Regions from separate parts of the Mus musculus genome. Here regions 1, 2 and 4 are each reported to be linked to region 3. The links are microRNA targets in miRTarBase. Many come from high-throughput screens and were not tested one by one. Region 3 holds a microRNA gene; each other region holds the end of a gene's coding sequence.

Evidence for each region. The annotated mature microRNA mmu-miR-3097-3p reads CUCAGACCUUUCUACCUGUCAG and lies in region 3 at 2,258-2,279, shown strand. An mRNA with a match to its seed (bases 2 to 7 or 8) in the 3' UTR can be bound and repressed. Matches are read on the target gene's strand: a 7mer-m8 pairs with bases 2 to 8, a 7mer-A1 pairs with bases 2 to 7 and ends in A, and an 8mer does both.
Region 1: the mRNA of Glod4 is a reported target of mmu-miR-3097-3p. Seed matches in the 3' UTR shown: 7mer-A1 at 1,776-1,782.
Region 2: the mRNA of Nip7 is a reported target of mmu-miR-3097-3p. Seed matches in the 3' UTR shown: 7mer-A1 at 1,719-1,725 and 8mer at 2,623-2,630.
Region 4: miRTarBase lists Dph5 as a target of mmu-miR-3097-3p. Seed matches in the 3' UTR shown: 7mer-A1 at 2,844-2,850.

The regions. Positions count from the first base shown.
Region 1 is chr11:76,218,493-76,222,492 of GRCm38, reverse strand. It overlaps Glod4 (glyoxalase domain containing 4), which reads left to right. Exons shown (of 9, transcript NM_026029.3): 9 at 462-2,098. The coding sequence ends at 527. It overlaps Dbil5 (diazepam binding inhibitor-like 5), which reads right to left. Exons shown (of 2, transcript NM_021294.2): 2 at 3,828-4,000. The coding sequence ends at 3,958. Among named protein-coding and RNA genes, the nearest start is that of Dbil5, 2.9 kb to the right of the region's middle.
Region 2 is chr8:107,058,016-107,062,015 of GRCm38, forward strand. It overlaps Nip7 (NIP7, nucleolar pre-rRNA processing protein), which reads left to right. Exons shown (of 5, transcript NM_025391.2): 4 at 32-172; 5 at 362-2,916. The coding sequence ends at 481. Tmed6 (transmembrane p24 trafficking protein 6) reads right to left here. Exons shown (of 4, transcript NM_025458.2): 4 at 3,469-3,809. The coding sequence ends at 3,579. Among named protein-coding and RNA genes, the nearest start is that of Nip7, 3.1 kb to the left of the region's middle.
Region 3 is chr5:35,018,837-35,023,084 of GRCm38, forward strand. Mir3097 (microRNA 3097) reads left to right here and starts at 2,213; the gene lies at 2,213-2,279. Rgs12 (regulator of G-protein signaling 12) reads left to right here. Exons shown (of 17, transcript NM_173402.2): 5 at 507-676; 6 at 1,478-1,570; 7 at 2,280-2,423; 8 at 3,756-3,935; 9 at 4,193-4,248.
Region 4 is chr3:115,928,105-115,932,104 of GRCm38, reverse strand. Dph5 (diphthamide biosynthesis 5) reads right to left here. Exons shown (of 8, transcript NM_027193.2): 8 at 2,782-3,596. The coding sequence ends at 3,385. Among named protein-coding and RNA genes, the nearest start is that of Dph5, 42 kb to the right of the region's middle.

The sequences.
Region 1 (4,000 bases), not on the chromosome of region 3:
ATTTTTAAGAATTGATTTTTCTGTGTATCTCTGGCTGTCCTGAAACTTGGTCTGTAGGTCAGGCTGGCCTCAAACTCAGAGATCTCCCTACTTCTGCCTCCTGAGTGCTGGGAATAAAGTGTTTGCCTGGCTGTCTCAAATACTATTTTTGGTGGTGGTACTGGGGTGTGAACTGAAGGTCAGTATTCCACCACTGGGCTGCATTCATTTTGTTTGGTCTCAGATTAAGCTCATGAGCATTGAGGGTTCCTGTTCTGCCAAGGACTCGGTAGTTGCACAGTCCCTGGTCTTTCATCAGCGGCCAGGCTCTCTGGCCAGCTGTGCAAATCACCAAGCAACTGTTTGCTGCTCACCAGCTCTCCTGTGAGTGAACAACATTCTCCACACAGATGGACTGCTTTAGCATTAATGCACGGTGGAGAATGCAGACTTGGAGTAACATTTGTCCCTCTGTTTCCTAGGCAATGGAAGCAGACAAAAGTGACGAGTGGTTTGCTACGAGGAATAAACCAAAGGCTTCGGGTTAGTGGAAGACACATGAAGAGCACTTACATCTCCAGTCCAGTCTGTTATCAGTCTGGCACTTATGTTTTGAGAAATGCTCCCACCACTTGGCTGTGTCCTGCATAGGAGGTCTGTGCAGTAGTTTCACTCTTCAAAGCTCTGTTTTTAGAAATGAAATATTTTTATCACTCTTGGTAGAGGCAAATTCCTACTGTGTGTAATTGTATTAAATTTGGTAACAAATTTATTGTCCAGACTGAGACAACTATATGGAATATTACTCTTGGTTGGGGCTGGAGGAAAATCTGATTACCTGTTAATCATGTAGATACTATTGAAACAAATGTCAGAATGAAGCCAAACCAGCTAGGCATGGGGGTGCACGCCTTTAATCCCAGCACTTGGGATACAGAGACAGGAGAGTGTCTGAGTTAGAGGCCAGCCAGGACTATAGAGACCCTGTCTCAAAACAAACAAACAAACAAAAAAAAAACAAAAGCTAAATCTACTGCTTAGAGTACTCATTTCCAGGACCCGATGGTAAGATTCTGTTCTGTTATCTTACCACAGAAGGTCTTGACGTTTAGAAACTTTTCCCATTGGCTTTCTGAGACAGTCTCACCTGATAGCTCTGGGTAACCTATTAATTCACCATGTAACTCAAGGCAGCTTTTAACTTCGTAACTGGAACTCGGTAGGCTAGATTGGTCTCAAACTCAAGAGACCAACCCACCCCTGCCTCTTGCTGAGATCAAATGCACAGGATACTGTACCCAGTGGTTTTGAATGTTTGTCCTGCTTCAGCCTCCAGTGTTAGGACTATAGATGTGGGCCACTATTCCATGTGGTGGATTGAACATGGTTGGCCCATGGAAAGTGGCACTATTGGAGGTGTGGCCTTATTGGAGGAGGTGTAGCATTGTTAGAGGAACTGTGTCACTGTGGAGATCTCTTATATGTGCTCAAGTCTGGACAATGTAGCAGTCTCCTCCTGGCTGGTTTTCGATTAAGATGTCAAACTTTTGGCTCCTTCAGTACCAAGTCCACTTGCATAATGCCATGTTTCCAACCATAATGATAATGGACTGACCTTCTGAAACTGTAAGCTAGGCCCAATTAAATGCCATTTTAAGAGTTGCTGTGGGGCTGGCGAGATGGCTCAGCAGGTAAGAGCACCCGACTGCTCTTCCAAAGGTCCTTAGTTCAAATCCCAGCAACCACGTGGTGGCTCACAACCATCCGTAACAAGATCTGACTCCCTCTTCTGGTGTGTCTGAAGACAGCTACGGTGTACTTACATGTAATAAATAAATAAATCTGAAAAGAACCTTAAAAAAAAAAAAAAAAAGAGTTGCTGTGATCATGGTGTCTCTTCACAGCAGTAGAACTCCTAAATCAGACACCAGGCTTGATGTTTCAAAGAATTTTTTGGCTATGTATGGACAGAATCCAACTCCTAGCTGGCACATCATCACCCCTCACCTAAACTCTGTAAAAACCCCTTGCTTTAGCCTGCATGTGTGACTTCACTGATCCTGTGAGGTCAGTGAACCCACCCAAGAGCTGCCTCCTAATAAACCTGCCTTTATCAACCATAATGGTGAATAGGTAAACTGCTTTGAGCACCCTTCTGGCGGGTGATCCAGCCTTTAGCCACCTGCCAGAGTGTTCTAAATTCAAGAATTTGAGAATCAAAGACACAAAGGCATGCACGCACGCACACATGCCAGCTTAATTTTTAATATGCCTAACTTGCTCAGTGGCCGGGCACTTCCAAACCTCCCCTCAGCTAGCACAGACTCCCCTCTGGCATTCCTGAGTTAATACCTTCTAAATCAATATTTTATTTTTGCGGCCCTGTTTCCTTCTTGGTAGCCTCCATTGGGGTGGCTTTCCCTTTACACCTACATTGCTGGATGATTTCTTTCCTGCAGCTCTTTAATCTCTCTGCTTCTAAGTCATGGAGAATCTGCCTGCTCTTCATCTCCTTCTGCCCCTTGCCCAGTCATTGGCTGTATGGCAGTTTTTTAGTACTGATCAAAGACACCTGGGGGCAGGGACCCTCAGCATTTGGAAATAAGGCTTTGGGGAGATGAATTAAAACAAAGCATTAGAGCCAATTCCCTACAATCTTTTAATCTGGTCTAGTCTGGCCTATATCTGCATCACTGAGAGAGAGAAAATGGCCATCATAGGGCCCACAAAGAGCCCTGTAGGTAAAGATGCTTTCCAGGAAAGCCTAGCAGCCTGAGTTTGATCCTGTGAACCCATGTAAAAGTTGGAGAGAACCAACTCTGAATTGTGTTCTGACCTTCACATGCACACTTGGCACCCTCACACCCACACACACAGTGCACACAATAAAAAAAATGTAATGATAAACAATAAACTTTATAGCCATCATGGTGGCTCATACTTTAAATGCAGCACTCAGGAGGAAGAATCAGATGGATCCCTGATGGCCAGCCTGGTTTATAGAGTGAATCCAGATCAGCCAAGTCCTATCTCATAAAACAAAGTATAGCTCCCACCCCCCACCCAACTGCCTAGAGAAACTTGCTGTTATATGACCAGATTTGCTAGAGAGCAAACCCTGGTGCCAGGCAAGTACTGCTTGCTTCAGACAAGACACATACTACCATGCTACCACGAAGTTAAGAATTCTACTTTAACACTTCATTTGCCAACTTCTGGGCACAATTTTAGCACACTGATGCCTCTGTAGTGATGGACACCGGCACTTACATGAGCCACACGTGCGTACGTTCATGTGCGTGTGCATGTGTGTGTCCGTCCATCACTGGGCCCCAAGCAGAAACCTAGGTTAAGAACATTTAGGTTGCTAAGGCTTAGGTGATTCTTTCAGGCACTGAGATGCTGAGGCCACCCTTCTTCCCTGTCCCTCAGCTGCTGTGCGTGATGCATGACCCACTTCACCATGTCACTCAAAGTTTGAGTTCCATCAAAATCCTAACTTCTCTGGACCTGTGTTCTAGGTGAGGGCTTTTCTATTTGTCTTTAGCTCTTTAGAAGGCAGAGCCCCTTTCTCCTCTGTACTGTTGGGTTCTTGGTGTGTTGATAACCCCTGATAATACAGATCCAAGCCCCCACCCCTGGTTATTTTAATAGCATGATTCACCCCACCTCTTTGCTCTTCTGCCAAATATCCACACACATTGTGGAACTGGGAAGACTATTAATGCCAGTCAGACCACAGAAAGGCAGATTAATGGAGTTTCACCCAGCAGAGAGAGGCTTCTACACATCTAAATACTTCTCCAGGACCCTCAAAGTTTCTCTTTTGCCACAGACTCCACTCTCATGCAGTTTGAATGATTTATTGGTGTTTCTGCTAACGCTGCTACCCTTTCAGTGTGTTTCAGCCATCAGGAATCTTAAACCCGTCCCCTACCAGTGGAGCCATGCTACTTCCTTGTGTCTGCCAAAATGCTCTTAGCATGGCTCCTTTTTCTTCAGCTCTTCCACTTTAGCAATG
Region 2 (4,000 bases), not on the chromosome of region 3:
CCTTGTGTCTTGGCTTTTAACTCTCTTTCAGTATAAAGTGTGGGTAAAGCCGGGAGCAGAGCAGTCCTTCTTGTATGGAAACCATGTGTTGAAATCCGGTCTGGGTCGAATTACTGAGAACACATCTCAGTACCAGGGAGTGGTTGTCTATTCCATGGCGGACATTCCTCTGGTGAGTAGCCACGGTAGCCATCCATCACGGCAAATGCCAGGTACCCACTGGAAAGGATGAAGTTTCAGTCAGCAGCTCGGAGACTGACTTCTTGGCTCCTTTCACAGTTCTCAAAGATACAGCTGTTTCAATATAGTTTTTGTTTTGTTTTGTTTCCTTATAAATGAATGTCTGTTCTTTCAATTCCAGGGTTTTGGGGTGGCAGCAAAGTCTACCCAAGACTGCCGAAAAGTGGACCCCATGGCAATTGTGGTGTTCCACCAAGCAGACATTGGGGAGTACGTACGCCATGAAGAGACACTGACTTAGGACGGTCATTCCAAGAACATTTTGCTGTGTGAGAGGACTTAGCTTTGTTTCCTGTGTGCGGCCATCAGATTAAATCTGGACAACACTGAGATACGCAACTTGGGTTCTTATCAACAGAAATGGCGTGAAAACAGGGTCTCTGGCCCTCTAGAGTCAAAAGCAGGTGGATCACAAGTATAAGGCCAGCTCAGGCTACTTGGAGAGTTCAAGGCTAGCCTGGGCTACATAGTGAGCCTTGTCTCAAAAATCTAAAACAGACAAACCAGAACCTGAGAGTGTTTTGTGTGAGTAAATAGAGTGTTTCTGTTTTGTGTCTGCGTCGTCTTTGTTTGGATCAGAAGACTTGCTCTGAGTGATGGTTTCTAAGTTACTTCACTGAGGACAGGAGCCATCTTACTGTTATCTGTGATAACACTGTTTTCCAGGCTCATGATAGCACAGTGGACTTTCTATTGTGTGTTAATGTTAAAGGTAGAAACGGCCATATGAGCCTCTGGTTTTACATATGGAATTTAATAAATTTTAATGGTTTTATATTTGTTATTTCATATGTGTGAGTGTTTTGTTGGCATGTACGTATGTGCACTGCTTATGTGCCTGGTGCCTAAGGAAGTCAAGGTGATTTCAGACCTGGAACTAGAGTTACTGGTTGTGAGCCACCGTATAGGTGCCAGAAATTAAACTCAGGTCCTCTGCAGGGACAGCAGTGGTCTTAACCACTAAGCTATCCTAATAAATTTAATAGGTGCATTTTGGCTATTTTTCTTGGTGTTAAGTGGGGTATAGCGTGGAAGCGTCTGTATTCAAGCCTCAGTTCTGCCCCTTGCCAGCTGTGGTGGTGGACAAGTTCTCTGCTTAGAGAGGCTTCATTTTCTTCCTTTGTTAAAAGAAAAAACCCATGACCCTGCCGTATGGTGGTGCATATCTTTAGTTACAGCACGGGGGCTTGAGGGTGAGGCAAAGGCAGATGGAGCTCTATAGGTTCAAGGCCAGCCTGGTCTACATAAGGAGATCCTGGCCAGTCTTAAACCCAAAACCCACAAAACTGAAAAAACACCTCCAGTCATCAGTGTAACAGTGATATTCAGAATTAAAAATAGCAGTTGTAGGGGCTGGTGAGATGGCTCAGTGGGTAAGAGCACCCGACTGCTCTTCCAAAGGTCCGGAGTTCAAACCCCAGCAACCACATGGTGGCTCACAACCATCCGTAACAAGATCTGACTCCCTCTTCTGGAGTGTCTGAAGACAGCTACAGTGTACTTACTTACATATAATAAATAAATAAAAAATAGCAGTTGTAAAGCATCCTGCATGGGATAGAGTTATCCTGTCTCAAAACAGGAAATTGTTCGTGCGTGTCTGTGTGAGTATATCCTGCTTGGGTAGCGGTATCCTCAGAGGGCAGAAAACACTTGGGATTCCTTGGAGCCTGAGGTAAGGACAGTTGTGAGCTGGCCATTGTTGGTGTTGGGAACCAAACTTCAGTCCTCTAAAAGAGAATGTTCTTTCTGAACTGCTGAGCCATCTTCCCTGTCTGTGTTAAAATGATTTTGTTACTTTTTTTTTTTTTTAATTGAAACAAGTTCTGACTATGTATCTCTGCTTAGAATGTACCCAGGCTGGCCTCAAACTCAAGGATCCATTGATTCTGAAGTGCTGAGATTAAATGGGTATACTACCATACCAGGCTCAATTCCCCCACCTCCCTTTTTTTTTTGTTTTTGTTTGTTTTTTTTGTTTGTTTTGTTTTTGTTTGTTCTTTTGAGACAGGGTTTCTCTGTAGCCCTGACTGTCCTGGAACTCATTCTGTAGACCAGGCTGGCCTCAAACTCAGAGATCTGTTTGCCTCCAAAATACTGGCCTTAAAAAATGTGCCCCACCATGCCTAACTTCAGAACAATTTCTTTTTCTTTTTTTTTGAGACAGGGTTTCTCTGTATAGCCCTGGCAGTCCTGGAACTCACTTTGTAGACCAGGCTGGCCTCGAACTCAGAAATCCACCTGCCTCTGCCTCCCGAGTGCTGGGATTAAAGGCATGCACCACCACACCCGGCAGAACAGTTTCTTAAGATATGATCAGGTTATGTCAGTTTTAGGGGGCATTTTTATTTTTTGAGACATTTGTCACATTATATCTAAGTTGGTCTGAAATGCTATGGGACCCAGGCTGTCTTAGCCTCTCAGGTAATGGTATTATAGGTCTGTCGCCACACCAGTTTCCAATGGTAACATCTTTTAAATAAAGTAAAATATTTCCAACCGTTGAAGGGCACTACAGGCCAAGAAGATAGCTCAGTGGACAGCCTGGTAGGGTGGATCAGCCATGTGCCACCAAGCCTGATGCTGTGTTCAATCCCTGGGACAAGGTTGAAGGTGGGGACATTGCTGACCTTTGTAGTCCTCTACAATGGATTAAAATTTTTTAAACTCCAAAAAGTTGTCTCCGTATCAACTCTTTCAGAGCTTTTAACGTACTTTGAGATATGGTCTTGAACTGCCTAAGGCTGATCTTAGTGCTTCCTCTGCAGTGCTAGAGTTCAGATTTGAGAGCCACCACCCTGATTTCTGTGGTGCCAGGGATCGAGGCCCAAACTGCATACAAAGCAGGTGCTCTTACTGAAGGGAGCTTCATCCTTGAACCCACTTCCAGGGTTTCTCTGTGTAGCCCTGGCTGTCCTGGAACTCACTCTGTAGACCAGGCTGGCCTCGAACTCAGAAATCCGCCTGCCTCTGCTGGGATTAAAGGCGTGCGTCAGTGAAGGCTGAGGGACAGCTGGATAAAGATGTTTCTAGGCTGCGGATGGGGTTACACACCTTGCCAGCAGTGGGGATGCAGAATCTCTTTAGTTTGGGGTGAGTTGGGTCTACCCGGCAAGTTCTAGTAGCCAAGGCTACATATTGAAACCCTGCCTCAGATAAACAGTACTTTTAGCTTTTAGCACTTAATTCGTATTTTAGAATGATCAGCAGCAGAACTCACTTTTTGTTAAACATTTGCCTTTATTGGTGGACACAAGAGAAAGGGGACATAAGTTGACCCCCCCCCCAATAACTTTCCAAAGCCCATTTGATCAAAGCTTTGACAAATAGGCTATATGTTAGCATCTTGGCTTCTTTGTGTCAGTAGTTGAAGCAGTAAAAAGTCTTTTCAAGAAATAGAGCTGGAGGGCCCCGGAAAGAACAATAGCAAGGCTCTGAGCTGTGGACCACCAGTTCACATAGGTGTAGTTAGACTGCAGGAGGAAGAAGTCAGCCACTTTTCTCATCCTGGCATAGTTGTAGAAGCGCCACATGTGGAAAACTTGGTTCTCCACCCTTTGTGTGCTGTCCTGTGGGAAGAAGGAAAGCCACTCTGGCTGCTGTTGGGTCTTACCTGCCCTGATCTAAGTGACCTGTGACTCAGGAGTCTGAGAAACAGTGCTACAGCAGTTGGTAATACATGGTACTTTGACTTTGTTTGAGAAAAATTGGTGGAGTAGTTTTAAAGTTAGGAGGCATAGTTAGGGCTTGGGATGTACCC
Region 3 (4,248 bases):
TCTCCTTTTCTTTGTTGTAATATTTTCCTGTATCGGGTCATCAGTGAATGAGCTACCAGATGACACATGGTTAAATACTCAGTTTGGATAGTGTGGCTTAATATCGTCACTGAAAAGTGATCTGCACACAGAAAAGTGCACAGGCAATGAGCCATGGATCCAAATTGCAGCAGACAGCACCAGGAGGGTGATGGGACCAACTGCAGCCCCTCCTCAGACTTCACTCAGGGGCTTTTGCTTTGTGGTGCACTTATAAATGCCTTCCCGCCTTCCGTATGCTCAGCATCATTCTTTCTGCTCTGTGTTGTATGCACACCTTAGGCAATAGCTTCTCTTGTTCAGCCCTGGGAAGTTGAGATGTGTTCTTTTCTGAAGTCTAGAAAGCCTTGGCTAGGTTTCAGGTGCAGTACATGTTGCTCAGTGAACAACATGGGTTGTGGGAAGTAGAGCTGGATATAGGTACCTGTGGCCTCCGAGGTGCAGGTATGTCTGTGATGATCCTGCAGAGTTGACTGGAGCTGACCTTAAGGACTGCATCAGCAACAACAGCCTGAGCAGCAATGCCAGCCTCCCCAGTGTGCAGAGCTGCCGGCGCCTACGAGAGAGGAGAGTTGCAAGCTGGGCAGTGTCATTTGAGCGTCTCCTTCAGGATCCTGTTGGTGTTCGCTACTTCTCTGTGAGTAAGGGGGACTGCTGTGGGGTGGCAGCACTTTGAGCCCGGGTGCTTGAGCTCACGGGGCCATCTCAGACCTCAGAGCCTGGGCATCACCTTGTTAGAGGTGTGGTCGTCCAGCACCTGCTCCAAGCTCAAGGATGGGGTAGGTAGCGTGTACACTTGTAGGGGCTGGCAGTTCTGTTTTCCCTTCCTGGCCTGCCTCCTGCCCTGGAGTTCCCTGCCGGCACACTTCCCTCTCACTCTCTCGATGTCTGTGCAGCAAGGAACATCAGAGTGTCTTGGCTCTGTGTGTTTGTTTTTTTTGTTTGTTTTGAGACTGGATTTCACTATGTTAGTCAGTCTGGTTTGGAACTCATAATCCCCCTGCCTTATCCTTCTGAGTACTAGGATTACAGTTGTATGACATCATCCTAGCTGGAGCTTCTTCAAAATTCTTGGAAATGCATGCTGACAAATACAGCTCTTAAGGATCCAGAAGTAGGGATGGAGCTGTGAAAGAGTGATTACGAGCAGCACGTGATAATAGTGTCAGTGATATGATGTCATATTTTATATGCTAACCAGAGACTAAAAATATATTTCTTTAAAAAAAAAAAAAAAGATGACCAGCCCTTGAGAAAAGAGCTGTGAGGCAGATGGCCCGCCCACTCACGTGTGCTGCGCAGCCCCTATGCCTGCTTTCAAGGCCCCTGCGAGGCTCCTTTCCTGCCATGGTGTAGACAAAGAGGGCCGGGGATATGGGGCTCAGCTTCATAGAGGGGTTGTGGAGTGACAACTGCTCTCCTTCCTGTGTTCCCTCAGGATTTTCTACGTAAGGAATTCAGTGAAGAGAACATTTTATTCTGGCAGGCCTGTGAGTGCTTCAGTCATGTTCCTGCACATGACAAAAAAGAGGTAAACTGCTCTTCAGAGCAGGGGCTGTGTGAGGACCGAGGTTACATCAAGGGTTGCTTGAGCAGTCGATGAGGGATGCTTCTTACTGACTTTAAAGAACGGTGACATTTCTGCTTCAGCATAAAAACTTAAGTGTGTGACATTTAATTCTGCCTAAACATAGTCTGCATAAATGCCTCGCCACAGAGCCTGGCAGTGGTGGCACTTGACGTTGGGTTGGGTAAGAAGGAACAGTGTTTGAAGAGACTTGGAGAAGCACTCTGGCAAACTGCAGCCTCTACCTGTGGCTTAACAGCACCTGTCTAGCTGCCCCAGGACTGCCCAGGCCATGTCCTGTGGCCTTTCCCCCAAAGTAACAGCTGTCCTCACAGAGTGGCCTCATGCCTGTGTCTTGTGCTCTGAGCATTGTGCACTTTTGCCCTCCCCTGTCGTGCACACTTTGCTGGCAGATCCTCCTCTGAGGCCCTTACAAAGCAGCCATTTAGAAATTTGCAGCCATTTAGAAATTTGTAGAGGAGCCGATTCAGGAGTTTCCTCCTGGCTCTTTCTTTTATATTTACTTTCATAAGCCAGACTATAGACAGGGCCTGTGACTCAGCTCTCCAGCCCCGAAGCAGAGTCAGCCTTAGGAATGTTTGAGTGACACAGGTGGGAAGTGTGTGTCCAGTGGGTGTGTCTACAGATCTGCTCAGACCTTTCTACCTGTCAGCTCTCTTACAGGGCCCGGGAGATTTTCAGTAAATTCCTGTGCAGCAAAGCCACCACTCCTGTCAACATTGACAGCCAGGCCCAGCTGGCAGATGACATTCTCAATGCACCCCACCCTGACATGTTCAAGGAACAACAGCTCCAGGTGACTTTGCAGACAGTCTTCCATGGGGCTTCCAGCCAAGGCTTGGGGGTGCAGAGTCACTCAGAGTAGCACGTGCCCTTCTGGGAAGGGGGCTGCTGGTCATGTGGGCATGGTGACAAGCCCATCTGACCACTGGGCTCCAGTCTCAAAAGGATTCAGTAGATCTGAGGAACAATAAAGCCTTTGCCACAGATAGCCCCATGTACCCACTGTCAACCGAAGTAAGGGACAATATTACTTTTCAAAAGTCTATGGGGCTGGTGAGACTGCTCAGCAGATAAAGGCTCTTGCCGCCAAACCTGACAACCTGAGTTTGATCATTGGGACCCACATAGTGAAAGGAGAGAATCAACTTCTATAAGTTGTACTCTTTAGACACGGACCATGGTGGGTGTACAACACACACACACACACTCTCTCTCTCTCTCTCTCTCTCTCACTAAATAAGTAAATGAATAAATAAGTATAAAAAAATTGTATGCACATTGGACACACTTGACCTACAGAACATGACAGCTACAGCGTGGCCACAACAGCACATTATGGAAGGTCAGTGGTCTTTGATGATTGCAGGGCTGACTCTGAGCAAGTTCGGTGTCACTTCCAGCATTTGAGAGCGGATGATAACTGCATTATCCCAGCCCAGAGAAAGCTTTCTATGAGCACACGTCGCTGCCACACTAGTGTACATCCAGAATGCTGTGGACCTGTCTGTATACTTACATGTTTACGTGCTTAGTAGCAGTAGCAGCAATTGTCATTTGAGACAGGATCTCACTGTGTAATTTCACCACCATTGACATGAAGCTCACATACTCGTGCCTCAGCCTCTGCCGGATCACAGGATGCACATGGAACCCTGTTTACATGTTTGTGTCTTAATTCTGGAAGAGCATGTGATCTGACCCGTCCAGAACACACTTCCCAGCCCTGCCAGCTGCTGTGCCGCTAGGTTGCAGGAATTAGCTTAAAACAGAGCAGAGCTTCCCCAGGCCTCACTTACCCTTGAGACAACTGCCTTCCAAGTTCCTAGGAAGTGAAGGCCTGCTAAGGGTGCAGCCACAGTCTTGAGTCTGCCTGCCCTTCTGGCTGTGCCTATGCCTATGACTCTGCTCTTACTAAGAGTGACAAAGGAGAGGCTGTTGACAGGGATCAGAAGGGTCCCTGGAGAGTTAATTAACATCTGAGTGCCCTGGGGCCCAAGGGAGGGTTGGCAGGAATGACACCCTTCCAAAATGTCACTCATTCATGGGTACAGACCTCCTATACCGCCTAGGACCTAAGGAGTTACCGTTCTTTCTGTGACTATACTGCATGGCATCTGCTCCACAGATTTTCAACCTGATGAAGTTTGATAGCTACACTCGCTTTCTGAAATCCCAGCTGTACCAAGAATGCGTCCTGGCAGAGGTGGAGGGACGTACCCTCCCGGACTCTCAGCAGGTCCCCAGCAGCCCAGCTTCCAAGCACAGCATCAGCTCTGACCACTCCAATGTGTCCACACCAAAAAAGGTGCTGGGCTAGCCCTTGTGGGGGTGAGAGTAAGGCTGTAACCACACATCCTGTCACCAGCAGAAGGTGGGGCCTGTAGGACACAGATACTCCTGAACCCTTTCCTGATCCCCTAACCCCTGGCTACCTCGGTGGTGAAAGAGAGGACTGTGCCCTTGACCCACTGAAGATTCTACCTGATTCCTCAGAATCCTTACTCATAGAGCTCTGTGTTGAGCCCCTTTAGTGTCTTAACTGATGTTTCTATTTGGTGACAGTTAAGTGGAAAATCAAAATCAGGACGATCCCTGAATGAAGATGTTGGGGAGGAGGA
Region 4 (4,000 bases), not on the chromosome of region 3:
AGGGCAACGGGCAAAGGGACAGAGAGAAGGAATTCTTGGTGACAGCAGTGTTACTATCAAGGCGATTCACTGAATCTTTCTGTTGATACATTGACACCTAGCTATGGGCAACAGCATGGTAAAATCCGTGCCTAACACACACAAGGCCAAAGCTGTGTGATCTAACTTCCTTTACCCCGGCACTGCAAGAGCCAAAGCAAATCGAGACCAAACTTCAAGACAGCCAAAGCCAATAAAGAGCTCAACTGCTAAAGAAACACCAAATGTGCACTCCTTTCTCCGGTCTCTGTCTCAACCCTGGGACTCCAGCACTGATCATCTCTTAGTACTGGTGAAGTTTTCATTCTTTAACTCATTTACATTGAGGTTAAATTACATGCAGGTTTGCCAAGCTGAGAAACAAACAAACAAACAAACCTAAATTTTAATTTCAAATTACATTTGGTAAGCTCTAATCCTACAAGCATTTTTGCTTGCTTTCCAGCTAACTTTGACTTTTCTCAGTTTTAACTGACAGGTATGAATTTCCTACTTATTTTGCTTGTAGTTCACTGAGTATATTGGATCAATGTATTGATGTTTACCAAATGAGGAAATTTTAGCTGTCATTTCTACCTGCTCTGCTCTGCTCTACTCTGCTCCCTCCCTCGCTCTCACATCTCATTACCGACATGCTTTTGGTTTTTGTTTGTTTGGTTTTGGTTTTTCAAAACAGGGTTTCTCTGTAGAGCCCTGCTGGCTGTCCTGGAACTCACTCTGTAGACCAAGCTGGCCTCGAACTCAGAAATCCGCCTGCCTCTGCCTCCCAAGTGCTGGGATTAAAGGTGTGCGCCACCACTGCCTGGCCCGACATGCTTTTTAAAACTGTTTGATATTGGAGCTGCTGAGGTGGGTCACCAGGTAAAAGTGCTCGCTGCCAAACCTAACAATCCGAGCTCAATCCCCACAACCTGCTTCTAGAAGCTGTCCTGTCACCTCTAAACAGGCACTGGCACATGCACACGTGTGTATGCGTGAGTGCACACACATGCACTTGCACACACACATGCAGTCATTTTCTGTCCACCAGTGTGGAGATTTTAAAAATGACTTGATCTTGCCCCCATGACATTACAATTCTGATTAATTTTTTTTAATTTTAGTCTTCCTCAGGTTGGAAAAATTTCTCTTCCTCTGTACTTCGGCCAATTTGCTTTTTCTTTTTGTTCTTGGATGACAAGACTCATTGTCTGCACTCATAAAAACACCTTTGCTTTCCATCCATGCACAGTTCTAAAGTGGCAGAGTCTAGGGTATGTTAACATCTCTGTCACCCAGTGTTCTTCCTTTCTAGTCATAAAGCCATACCGTATATTCTGTTCTAAGGCTATTATTGATACTATACTAATTTCTGTCACCATTTTCTGAACCATCTTAAACTTTGTCCTTGTAGACATTAACCCACTGCTTACCACCTTCATCCTATGGAGGCTGAACTTCACATTATATGAAACACTTTGTCCTTAATTGAGTTCCAGGCTCGGCCTTTACTAGTACACGGTCATTCTGGGTTTCTGAAGGAAAGCATGCATACTTATCAAGCCCTCCTAACTTGTCAGAATTCAAGCTTGAAGCTGTCTTCTCTCACAATGGAGAGCAATGTCTGTTTCTTTAGCCCCTGGCCAGGTTTTTCACCTAGATCTGTGGCTCTTTGTACACATACAGAAAGTAAGGAGTAAGCTGAGGACGTAGGACAGAGGTCAGAAGACTCACCACTCCAGAGCACCTTACTTTCTAAGGGCTCCTTCTTCAGTGTCCAGCTCCCTTTGGAGCCCACAGTTCCATCCACTAACCATCTCAAGCCAGTAGGACACTAGCTTGGTTGAATGTCTGGAAAAGTCTCAACAGGAAAAGCCACATAGGCAAAGTTCTCAGCCTGCCCTCTGGCTCCCCAGTGTCTTCCAACAATCATGCAGTGTAAAAGAGTTTTTAACTGGAGGGAATGAGTGCCATTCGAATACCAAACCTGCAAGTCCTTTATATTTAAAACATTTAAGTGTTTGGTTTAACACCCCCGAAGAAAACAACATAGAACTGCCTTAAGCTACTTGTCTCTTTCTTCTTGTGTGCACAATAATTTGAAAATGGGATGTTTTGTACACATTACAATATTTCATCCTAAATGAAATGTCAAAATATTTTCTAGCTAATGCATATATAATACCAGAAAGTAGAAAAAAATTTCAACCAATATTCATGAATAGACTGAGCAAAAAGATGGAGTTGATTAGGCTATGGAAATACTCATGACTGTCATGAAGCTACTTCTATTGCAGATGGGCAAAGGCAAAGCACTTTACGGCTATTAAACAAACGAGCCTTTTAAAATTGGTATTTAGTAAATGTGTATTCATGTGTGCACGTGCGATGACAAACATCAACATTGGGTATCCTCTTCCTCTATCCTGTTCCACTATTATTATTATTATTATTATTATTATTATTATTATTCATAAGGTAGTCTGGAACTTGCTATGTAGATCAGGCTGGCCTCAAACTCAGAAATCCGCCTGCCTCTGCCTCCTGAGTACTGGGATTTAAGGAGTGAGTCACCACACTCAGCTATCACCTTATCTTTTGAAACTGTCTCACATTGAATAAGGCACACACAGACTAACCAGAAAGCTTCAGGGAATCTGCCTGCTCCCACCCTGCATCAGGGTTACAGCCATACACTGCCACACTTGAATTTTTACACCAAATAAGGTATGTTCTCAGTCGCTGACTGCTACCTTTTTTTTAAAAAAAAAAAAAAAAAAGACTTATTTATTTATTTTATATATATGAATACACGATTACCTGTCTTCAGACACACCAGAAGAGAGCATCAGATCCCATTACAGATGGTTGTGAGCCACCATGTGGTTGCTGGGAATTGAACTCAGGACCTCTGGAAGAGCAGTCAGTGCTCTTAACCACTGAGCCATCTCTCCAGCCTGACAGCTACCTTTTATAAAGGAGATTATAAAACAATATATGAAGAGTTAGCAATCTTTTATTTGCTTTTCTTGCTGATTCATGCTGCTTTGTCCCTGAAAATCAGAGTTCAAGTGATTCATTGTCCAGTTTCCTCACGTTATTCTTGGTCTCCACCTCCTTGCATCGACTTGGCTCCCTTTTTCAGCTCCATCTGCCCACGTGTGTGCACCCTGACGAGTAGGAAACTCACGATGGAATGGGGGAAGCTGCCGCAGGAAACCAAACGCTGTCGTTCAACCTGCTTCTTCTTGGTCACTTCGGTTATATCTTCTTCATAAATGACAGAGCCATGCCATTTGACATATAAATACCACACACACCCCAATCTCACTGAAATGATCGTGAGACAACAGAAAATGTCCATGCTCAGAGTCCATCAGTACTCTGGGATTCCGGTATAGAGAAGAGACTTAGCATCTCCATCTCCAGTGGGTGCAGGTTGCCCCCTGTAATGACCAAAGAATGCAGTGGTTCTCCCAAGCTCACTGTGCACATCTGCTGTAACGTGCCTGCTGCAATTTTCTGATCTTCAGCTCCCACTCTGGCTAAGCCGACACAGAGTGTCTCCTCAGTGATTGCTGTTTTTGGGGAGGGAGACAGAGAGCAGCACGTCAACTCAGCAAGTGCATCCATCGCCTTAGTCAACTTTCACAGTAACAGTGCACACACTGACTTCTGAAATGTCGCTGCTGACTAGTCACGTTACCATTTGGAATTTACACTCCACATAATGATATAATATTTATCCTAAAACAAGTTCTGAGTGTACATCTTTATGACGCACACATACTATAAAGATTTTGGTTTAACTGTGTGTGTGTGTGTGTGTGTGTGTGTGTGTGTGTGTGTTGCTATATGCACACATGAATGCATGCATGTATGTGCTTACAGGTCCCCATGAAGGCAGAAGAGGGAGCTGTGTCTCCTGAGGCTGGAATTACAGGTGGTTGGGAACCAGTCAATTGCGTGCTTGGAACCTAAC